Schizosaccharomyces pombe: one gene and its partner. The protein of the gene in region 1 binds, or shares a complex with, the protein of each later gene. Each region holds a gene or a part of one and is shown on either strand. Other genes may lie near its edges. The genes, in order: sad1 and bqt4. A codon is read from its position in the direction of its gene.

What was found.
Region 2: the proteins of sad1 (region 1) and bqt4 are in contact, whole or in part, in a crystal structure (PDB 6A6W), measured with the Schizosaccharomyces pombe proteins. Residues at the interface, in NP_595947.2 of Schizosaccharomyces pombe: Asp89 (codon at 2,810), Asn90 (codon at 2,813), Glu92 (codon at 2,819), Phe93 (codon at 2,822), Glu94 (codon at 2,825), Val96 (codon at 2,831), Val97 (codon at 2,834), Lys98 (codon at 2,837), Asn99 (codon at 2,840), Gly100 (codon at 2,843); in NP_596166.1 of Schizosaccharomyces pombe: Arg33 (codon at 2,429), Gln35 (codon at 2,423), Ile37 (codon at 2,417), Glu38 (codon at 2,414), Phe39 (codon at 2,411), Phe46 (codon at 2,390), Arg48 (codon at 2,384), Lys50 (codon at 2,378), Phe61 (codon at 2,283), Met63 (codon at 2,277), Ser75 (codon at 2,241), Arg78 (codon at 2,186), Arg107 (codon at 2,099), Val108 (codon at 2,096), Ala109 (codon at 2,093).

The regions. Positions count from the first base shown.
Region 1 is NC_003423.3:2,301,637-2,307,345, forward strand, and holds sad1 (protein Sad1), read left to right. Parts: upstream 1-2,129; 5' UTR 2,130-2,545; coding exon 2,546-4,090; 3' UTR 4,091-4,121; coding exon of another isoform or gene 4,122-4,604; 3' UTR 4,605-5,025; downstream 5,026-5,709. Other genes in the region: DNA polymerase delta subunit Cdm1, read right to left, coding at 4,122-4,604.
Region 2 is NC_003423.3:2,839,061-2,843,457, reverse strand, and holds bqt4 (integral nuclear inner membrane protein Bqt4), read right to left. Parts: upstream 2,625-4,397; 5' UTR 2,602-2,624; coding exon 2,561-2,601; intron 2,524-2,560; coding exon 2,492-2,523; intron 2,453-2,491; coding exon 2,353-2,452; exon of another isoform or gene 2,291-2,352; coding exon 2,237-2,290; exon of another isoform or gene 2,191-2,236; coding exon 1,144-2,190; exon of another isoform or gene 1,131-1,143; intron 1,072-1,130; coding exon 1,047-1,071; 3' UTR 624-1,046; downstream 1-623. Other genes in the region: SPOM_SPBC19C7.11 (ClC chloride channel), read right to left, coding at 1-124, 182-317; endonuclease Uve1, read left to right, coding at 3,873-4,397. UniProt on the Schizosaccharomyces pombe protein: Connects telomeres to the nuclear envelop (NE) during both vegetative growth and meiosis. This connection ensures clustering of telomeres to the spindle pole body (SPB) when cells enter meiotic prophase.

The DNA of each region.
Region 1 (5,709 bases):
ATTAAAGATTGTATGCAATTAAGTGTAGAACAATTGAATCTCATCCGTGTTTCGTGTCTTCCTCTACATGAGCAACGTGCCTAGGGCGAATTTAGCTACACACTAGCAATGGCTCTAACATATTAACATCTCTTACTACACTATGGTTCACTGGTTTTAACCTTACAACAAGCTCTAACCCAACTGTAACTTATAACCTTACAATGGCTCTAACCTGACAGTAGCTTGTAACCTAATAGCGGCTCGTGAACCTACCATAACTAGTGTGCTTTGTTACAAATCGGTGAATAAAGTAATTTTACTATTACCGTTTAGGAACATACTCATACAACTGCTCTTCGGCGTTAATATTGCGGTCCGACACGTTGGTTAATAAAACTATCTCCTCCGGGATTTCCTTGCTGTAGCCATTACGATATGCGACGTTGATTCACAAGATGTTGCATTATAGCATCCTGACTTGAACCACCTGCAAAAATTTTTTTCATTCTTAGGCGTTTGTTTATTTACTCACCACCCACAGGTGATAATTTGCTATTCACGTTGCACTGCTTTACTTACCGAACGGATCAATTCCACATAGCGAGAGATATCGTAAACGGCAAACAATGTCTGAATTTTCATATGAGTTATTCCACATTGTCAGCTCTATCTACTTTGATGGATCACAAGTTTTCCCGGATTTTAGGGTTGCTCAATAAGCTAACATCGGTTTCGGCCCATGAATGATGTCCAGCGCATGGTTTCTCGTTTGTGTCGCAACACCTAGTCCTGAAGTAGCTGAGTGAGTGTATAAGGTACAGAAATGAAATGAAGTCGTGAGATGAATACACAATCATGAGACATACTTGGCGCCACGTTGAGTAATTGAAATGATTGAACCTTTTTTGACGGTTGGTTGAGCAGATTGATTATTGAGGTTTTATTTATTAGGATTCATTATGTAGCGCACAGGATCAAATACTAGGTTGTGCAATACTACTCGACATTGCCTCAATTCATTACTTTCGCTAGCCAAAAAAACAATACGGGCTAATTGGAAGTTAAACGTGCCATAAATTTCGTCCTTGTTGAAATACTGACGTTTTCAAAGTTACGCATAGCTTGTCTTTGATTCCTTATATACAACATTGTGCAGTTTCTGTTGAATGTAGTGAAACCAAGCGATGAATAAGCTCAAAACATGAAAATTTTTCGTTTCATTTTTTTTTGACAGGACCGTATCAGTGTCGCAGTAAAATGGGATCCTAAGTATGCAAAAACAAGCAGTTAGTTAGACAATTTATGGTTGCGTATTGCTGCTACCTTCGCAATCGGCACAATATTCAAGCAATTTGAAAGCGACTGAATGCCCGAATTTCATTGGCTATATGATGAAAAGCGAAAATCCTACTTTGACGAACTATAAAGTATAATATTCAGCGGCAATGTTGTATTAAACAGTAGAAAGGTTTATTAAAGGTTTATTAAATGTTTATTTACTCAATTGATCATTGTTGAAATTTGCTTTTGAAAATCATTGGCGTAGATTCTCGTGTCGATGAAATGTATCCCTAACAAACGCAAAAACGTTTTTTCAATGCCTAGAAATTGAAGTCGTTGAACTACTACTACAGCAAAATGCCAAATCTGTTTACTTAACTGATTAAAAGTGAAACGATACTGAATACTTTTGATTTTTCAAATAAATTTGGTAGCATATGATCGGTTTCTTGTTCTTTTTCTTTAAAAATTGGAAATCTAAATGCAAACGAAGTAATATTAATAGTGGTAAAAATATTAATAGGTATGGAACTTGCTATTTTATAAGGCTGCTTTATTACTTGAATCCATCAAACTTCTCACTTCACTGAACAGTTTTGCCATGCTCTCACGAAAACTCCTAAATTACCAAACCTGTTTTTTATATAAACACGCGAATTGCTGGATTTGGATCCTATCAGCTTCAAGTACTTAATTCATCAGCGTTCAAACCCTCTTGTATTAACAGTCTACCATTTTTATTCATCAAATATTTCTCGCTTTATTTCCATATATTATGTTATGAATATTTATCGATTGTCAGCGATATATAACGTAGTAAATTCTTAGTGTATACACTTACCGTAAACACAACAAAACTCTTTCTCAGCAGTCAATCTTCGTACCGTCCATTTCTAGTGTGTTTATCTTGGTATTGTATCCTTTATTGTTTGTGAAGGAATTTTCCAGTATTGGAATTGGAATGATACCTCAAGAAAGGTATACTCTGCTAGGGTAGGATCAATTACATACATTGTGTGTATAGGTATCTGTTTTCACATAAAAAAGGCGTCAACGATAATTCGTCTGTTATTAATAATTTATACATTCGCATAAAGCGATCAAAAAGGCATTCAATTACAGAATCCTACTTAAGCTTCACTTTTTTGAATACGAACACTAATTCAAATTCTCGCCTTCCAATACTCTCTTTTCAATTTTTGTCTCTCTTTTTACATATTTATTTATCACTGATTCGTTTGTATATTTTTCTTTTAATTTTCAAATAGCCTTTTATACATCAATGTTTACTAATACACCGGTTGGAGGGAAAAGAGAGCGTCAAAATGGCGCTCATCCAGCTTGGTCGACGTTAGGAGCGAACTCTGCTCAGATTCATCAAAATACGGCTGATTTGGCCTCCAAAATGCATAAACTTCGCTATACAAAGATAAGGTCCCCTCCTACCAGGGTGTCCATTGAATCAATTACTCCTAAACAAAGATTTCCAGCTCCCAATTTCGAACAGGCTTACCACTCTAATATTCGATACGAGCAAGAGGAATCTGATAACGAAGAATTTGAAAACGTAGTGAAAAATGGACACGAAGCTTCGACGAATGTATTCTATGAATCAGATGGAGATGATGAAGAGTTTGTCAATGAAGAATACGAAAACAGCATCGACGAGGAAAGTGATGATGAAGGGTATAGCTTGAACGAGGATACCACCGCAACAAATGCCAGTTTTAGGTACCCGATGAATCAAAGATCTACAAGGAAATCTCAATTTTATTCCTCAAAATTTAAACCATTACTTTGGTTCGGTATCACTCTCTTTTCGACTCTCCTAATAATTACTCTACTTCACAAGGGTCAAGAATTTTACTCAAGATCATTTTCATCAGATAATTCCCAACCATCTAATTCGCCCGTACCAAACATTCCTCCTGCATCCAATGACACCAAAACAAGTTTAAAGCCAGATATTATTAAAGACTTCACAGATTCACCTTCTAAAGTTGGCGGCAATGAGGAATTCGATTATTCGACGGGAGATTTAATTACAAAAAAGGAATTTGACAAGATTTTACAACAAAAAGTAGAGCAATTAAAACAGTCGCTAAAGGAGGAGATGTCTAATTACAAATCATCGGTCCCATTTGAAGTTGAACTAAATGACGATTGGAAGTTCTTCATCGAATCTACGGTTCGAAAATACTTGACCGATCCGGTTTCCATGCCGAATTTTGCATTGCTCTCAACAGGAGCGGAAGTACTACCTGCCTTAACCTCAAAACGCTATGTGAGACGACCATCTGCATTCATACCACGATTTACCTCCTATTTCTTTGATTCGCTCGTTGTTAGAGGACACGAACCTAGCATAGCATTAACTCCCAACAACGCAGTTGCGATGTGTTGGAGCTTTCAAGGTTCAGAGGGACAATTAGGAATTTCCCTATCACGCCCTGTATATGTAACCAATGTCACAATAGAGCACGTTCAGCACAAGATTGCTCATGATCTTTCTAGCGCTCCCAAGGACTTTGAGTTGTGGGTTCAGGGAATGTCCAGCAAGATGTTTGTATTGTTGGGAAAGGCGAGATATTCTTTAACGGAAGACTCTATTCAAACTTTTTCGTTTGAATCCTCCAATTATATTGTCGCTGAACCGATACAGAATGTGATCTTAAAAATAAAAAGCAACTGGGGAAATCCCAATTACACATGCTTGTATCAAGTTCGAGTTCATGGGACTGTACCCAATGCAGACGAACAACCAATACCTTCTTTAGGTGAGAAAGCCGAAAGTACTGCAGAGAATACGGGTCAAGATTCATCTTAAAGACCTACAAAATGTAAGATATAAAAATAATCTAGCCTGGAATGGTTTGAAGATCATAAAAGAGCGATTCTCTTTTTCGATTTTCCTCATCTGCTTCCTCGAGCATCAATATCTTTCCCACTGTTTCTGGAGGATTTAAATTGAAGTTTTTTGCACGTTTCCAGCGTTGCATCCTTGTCATACCAAGATATGGTCCATATCTTGCCGTAGTGTCAAAGTGATGCAAAATGAACTCTACTTTGGTTATATTTTCACAATGTATTGGTTCACTAATCCTTTCAGCCATAATTTGATTCCAAGCCTCTTCTACCTCTTTTGAAAGCTCATCGTCTTCTTTAATTCTCTCATCCAAGGTTTTGGTTGTAATTGTAACATCGGGTGTAGGCGACTGTTCAGAACTCACTTTCTTCCCTATGTGGGATTGACTTGAATTACTTCGAACTACATGTGGAAACACGTCGCGAATATTAGTGTTTTGCCCTGATTTTTTCGCTTGAGTAGTGCGCTTCTTCATACTGCGTGATATAATTCTGTAACACTGCGGTACTAGAATGAAAGGTGCACTATAAATCCAATTCTTTTTCGTGTTTACTCAATTTAGAGCATTAGTTTGTTTGGCCAAAAGAAATCTCTGAAAAAGTACATTTGGTTGCAAGTGTACTTTTAATATGTATATATAACTTTAGATGACTACTATAGCGATGTTTAAAATGCGTCACGCTGACGAGAAAATAAGTATCCAGCCATCCGCTCGTTCTTTATCGTTATACATATATCAGCCTTCATATATATTATTATTCATTTAGGTCCAAGTATTTAAGTGCATTATTGATAATTATTAAAATAGAAACTTCTTGACGACCCCTATTTCGGTATTTCTAGTTCGTTGTTGGAGCAAACAAGAAGTAAACAATACTCGTTATTAGTTCAGATAGTATTGTGGAAATTTCATAATTAGATACAAGTATTTTAGCAATACGTGTTGTCTTAATCCAGCCTTGGTCATGCAATTGAATCACTTGCCAGCCTTCCTAACATATCTTTAATACGTTTCTAAAAAGGGTTTTGGTCTTTACCGATTTAAAATAGGCAATTTCGTAAATGCAAATAGATATACTTATTAACATTTTCAAAATTTAAAAAATTTATAGTTAAATAGCTTTGAGTATTGCAAAATTTGTCTTTTGTGCTTTGCTAAAACAGCGTAACTTTTTACACTGCAATTGAAGCACAAAGACAGTTGAAACTTCAATTCCCTTACAGCTTTTAGTAATTTAAGTATCTAGTTTCATTAAGTTGTCTTTTTTTAAGGGCTTTTAAACTGTTAGTTATACAGTGGTAAACAAACTGACCGGGCTTTCTCAATGATTAAACTGCACTATCATTAAATACAGTGTAGTCAACCAAATTGTTATATTTTTTAATGCAGTCGATAAATTTACATAATGCTTTCAAACGTGAAAGACATCCTTCGTAAATCAAAATTATTGAATTTGTTAATTGTCCCTATGCTGCAAATAGTGCACAGGTAGTTTGTGTTGCAGAATTTTAGTTTCCACCAAGAGGGTAACATTACGCTATATGAGGTAACACTTAGAGGGTTTGAATGCTTTTAGTAC
Region 2 (4,397 bases), 540 kb from region 1:
GTTCCTATGATACTGAGAATAAACCATGAATAACCAACATTCCATATTCTCCACAACTTGGACCAACGGCTTTGATCAATTACGTTTTCTTCATTTTGCTCGTTAATTATTTCATTAACTCTGTCTTTAAAAGTTGTCAGTAAATAGTAGTCAAATGCTTTCGAAGCTTGAAAAACCATACCGTCCGTTTCAAAATTATCAATACCGGAACCTTCTCTATTAAAAAAATATTTTTTTTTCCTTTCATTTTCATCCAAAGATCGACGTTCCGCCTGATCAAAAGAACTTGAGGAATCTGCTCTCTTTTGAGAGGACATTGATGATATAATCTAATGTGGAGAATATCAGAATTGAAGAAAATGCTCTTGTTTTTCTCCTTTGTATATCAAAAATTGATCACTAGCATTTATTATTGTATGGTAGGCAAATCGCAAGCATTAATTGCACTTTTCCAAAACTTTGTCCTCAACCTTGAATATAGTATGTTAAGGGTGTAAACCGAGCGAATTTTATTACTTATGAAGTAAGAAATATTGAAGTTGGAATATAAACAATGCACATTTGTAATATCTTCATAGTAAAAGAAGATTCTATTTTCGACTCTCTTTAGTTTTCTATAGTAGTTAGTTATTCGTTAGTCGTACAAATGTTACTTTTTGCTATTTTGCTAGATAAGTTTAAAATAGGAAAATTTAATGAAACAAAACTAAAGCAAAGTACAGTAATCAATATAACTTGGAAAAATCACATTCCGCAATAAATTGGAAACAATACACTTCCCAGGACTAAAACAACTTCATATAAGTGATAAAACATTAAGATAACCAAATAGTGCACTAGAATCAATCGGAAATTAAGTTATTTCAGCCCTAAATCAATCTGAAGCAGGTCTCCAATCCCAAATCATAATCGAAAGTAAGTAAAAAGTCATCAAGTCAATTGATTTTCACATTAAACACGAAAAACTACATCAACAAATTAAAGCACATATGTCACATTAAATTCTAACATCCAGTAGTTTCAAAATGGTAAAGGGCCCTATTAAATTAAAATAGAAAAGGTAAAATTGCGCTGCGAAAGATAGTTAGTAAATGATTTTAAATCCAGGGAAAAGACCAATTATCACAATCATTGAATACTTACCCTACACCCAAACCAATAGCAATACCACCAAGTGCTCTGACTTTCCGCTTTTCATAGTAAACTTCGCTTTCCAGTTTGGTGATACGCGACCTTTTCACAGGTACCATAGCATTGTAATCCTCGTTTTCCTCAAAATCCTCTCTACTTCTCTTCTTTGACTTTGGAGAGGATCGAATGGAAGATTTCAAAGTATCCCCAATGCTCTTTTCCAAATTCTCGAACTTCTTTTCCAACTTTCCGACAGGTTTTCTTACTTGGCTTGCAACACCAGTTACACCTTTGTTAACTTGATTAGCGACACCATTCATGCCTTTGTTGACCTGGCTTGCAACACCATTCACGCCCTTGTTAACTTGACTGGCAACATCGGTCATGCCTCTGTTAACTTGACTGGCAACGTCAGTCATGCCCTTATTGACACTTGACCTAATCTTTCCAAGAAGAGAAGGCTTGATAGGTGTCTTAATCTTTCTATCTTGGATATCAGATGTTTTTTCCTCCTCCTCAGAGGGTTGATCTTTAGAGGTTGATCCTTTTGCTTTATCATCCGAAGAAGAGGGTTGACCTACTTTTTCAGTAGAACTACCGCCTTCCTGCTTCTTGATTTCTGGCTCTTTCTTCTCAGACTTAATTTCATCCTTCGTTTCATTCTCTTCGGAATGTATTTCCTTGTCTTCTTCTTTATTATCATGTTGGAGGATTGTCTTTTTGGAATTCTCCAGATGTTCAGCAAGACGCTGACGTGTGCGCCTAGCAACAGAAGTGGTAGTGGCAGATGTCGAAGATTCAGGTTCCCCCTCAGATGTCTCTGATTTCTGCGCAGTGGGGCGTGAAGGAGTCGCATAAGTTGAAGGAGTGGAGGATGCCTCTAACAAGGCGTTAATAAACGGGGTCATGCTGTAGTCTTTGGCAAGAGCCAAGGCATCTGCAGGAGGCACCCATAGTCCAGCAACACGTTTGTCTTCAATTGGGTTTAAATTATCACGAATCCATCTCATTTCCAAGTCTTCTTCTTCTTGGGTAGCCTTAGGGAAAGCTGAACGAAACCTAATCGGGTTTAGATTTTTAGAAAAAGATATGAAAAAACGCTTACATTGACGTAGCACTAATGCTTGAATCCTTTGCCATCCTCATAAGAAAGTGAGGTCTATATTTATATACATCATTAGTATTTTTCCAAAAACAACACTGCAAAAAAAAGATAATTACACTTTAGATTCCGGATTTGTACACTTGAGACGAACAAAAGTAGCTGGTCCATCAGGAAATTCTATTACCTGAGCGCGACACTTTGGGATTAATGGTGTATCTGCTATATTAGTTTCACGTAATTTCGGGAAGCGCGTACGGTCAAGTGTATCGTCTTTATAGAGAGGGTTTCTAATATCAATTAGTCGTTTTCTTTAAATATACGAACCTTTCAGCAGGTAAAGACCTGCTTTTCTCATTCTCAGTCATGGTATTCAATTAAGGGGAAAGGTAACAATTAATCGCCGTCGTCGACGTTTGTATAATTCCTCTCTTACAACGTTTATGTAATAGCTGATTGTATAGAGCAATAGTGGTGCTACCTTAAATGATAATATCGAGTGATGCTAGGACGTACTTCGTTATAAACTATGTGCAAAGCAAGAATTACTAATTCTTTAAACACCTCGAGGTCATGTATAGTCGATGCTTATGCTGAAATGTAATGTTAATATTGTTTATTTGAAGATTCAATGTGGTTCCAATTTTTTACGCTTTTCTGTTGGGATACAAACTTAAGGAAAATATTCACACGCGGGCAGCACGCTGCCAAATGTTAAATATAAGAAGCGCTGATCATTTATTTCTGCTAGAAGTTTGTTTTGTCAATCGATCAGCCAGGTCGGCAAAAACGATGCGGCAGTAAGAAGCGTTCTTCATGCTACTGGTTGTAATAGTATTTGCAGAAAAAACCAATCGTTTCGCTGATGCAGCTATCTACGGTTCTAAAGATATACTGTATTTTATCGTAAACAATTCGCTTCGTTTACTCTACCTACATTGCGATTTCGCAATGATGGCTTCTCAACCAACTCATTAATGCTGATGGTATTAAATCTATTGTGAATTACACGGTAATTGTTTGTATATTTTTAAAGATGTCCATGTCAGCAGAAAGCAGCATTAAGACGGTTCATAATACAATATAAATGACCCGAATCCGCCTACTTCTGCTTCCCATACACACATATGCTACAGATGGTAAAATAAATTGTCGCGACTCCTTGACTTGGCCAAATTTTCATTTCAAATGTTTTTTCCTATCTGCTGTTTTTTTGATTGTTCAACTGAATCTGCAATTATTAAAGAGAAAGCAACACAATCTTTTTACTTAACATTGTATTGCTAAACTAAGCTCGATTTGAGAAACCAAAATTTCCTCGTAAAAGCAGTCCTATCTACACTGAACAATAACTGTCAAAAGTTGAATCCCTTGAGCATCAGTAATCTCATGGCCTTCCAATAAAATCATAGCGAATTTTGACGTAACAATGATACAAAACCATTTTTGGTTTACTGGGAATGAAAGAAGATTTGTCTTCACACTCGTTGATTTTGACTAGTATTGAGTCTCAATCACTTCTTGTCGATATCTCTTTTCACTTACAAGATAATAGTTGTAGGGATATAAGCAAGTTTGCGAAGGGCTTATTTCCTTCTAAATAATGTCATATTGATACTAAAATCGTTTTCATTTTTTAATGCTTAGGCTATTGAAACGAAATATTCAAATCTCTAAACGCATTGTTTTCACCATATTAAAACAAAAGGCATTTAAAGGTAATCATCCTTGTGTACCGTCGGTTTGTACCATTACTTACTCTCGTTTTCATTGTTTACCCGATACCCTTAAAAGTTTACTTCCAATGAGCTCAAAAACCACACTCTCAATGTTACCGCAAGTTAATATCGGTGCGAATTCATTCTCTGCCGAAACACCAGTCGACTTAAAAAAAGAAAATGAGACTGAGTTAGCTAATATCAGTGGACCTCACAAAAAAAGTACTTCTACGTCTACACGAAAGAGGGCACGTAGCAGTAAAAAGAAAGCGACAGATTCTGTTTCCGATAAAATTGATGAGTCTGTTGCGTCCTATGATTCTTCAACTCATCTTAGGCGATCGTCGAGATCAAAAAAACCGGTCAACTACAATTCCTCGTCAGAATCCGAATCGGAGGAGCAAATTAGTAAAGCTACTAAAAAAGTTAAACAAAAAGAGGAAGAG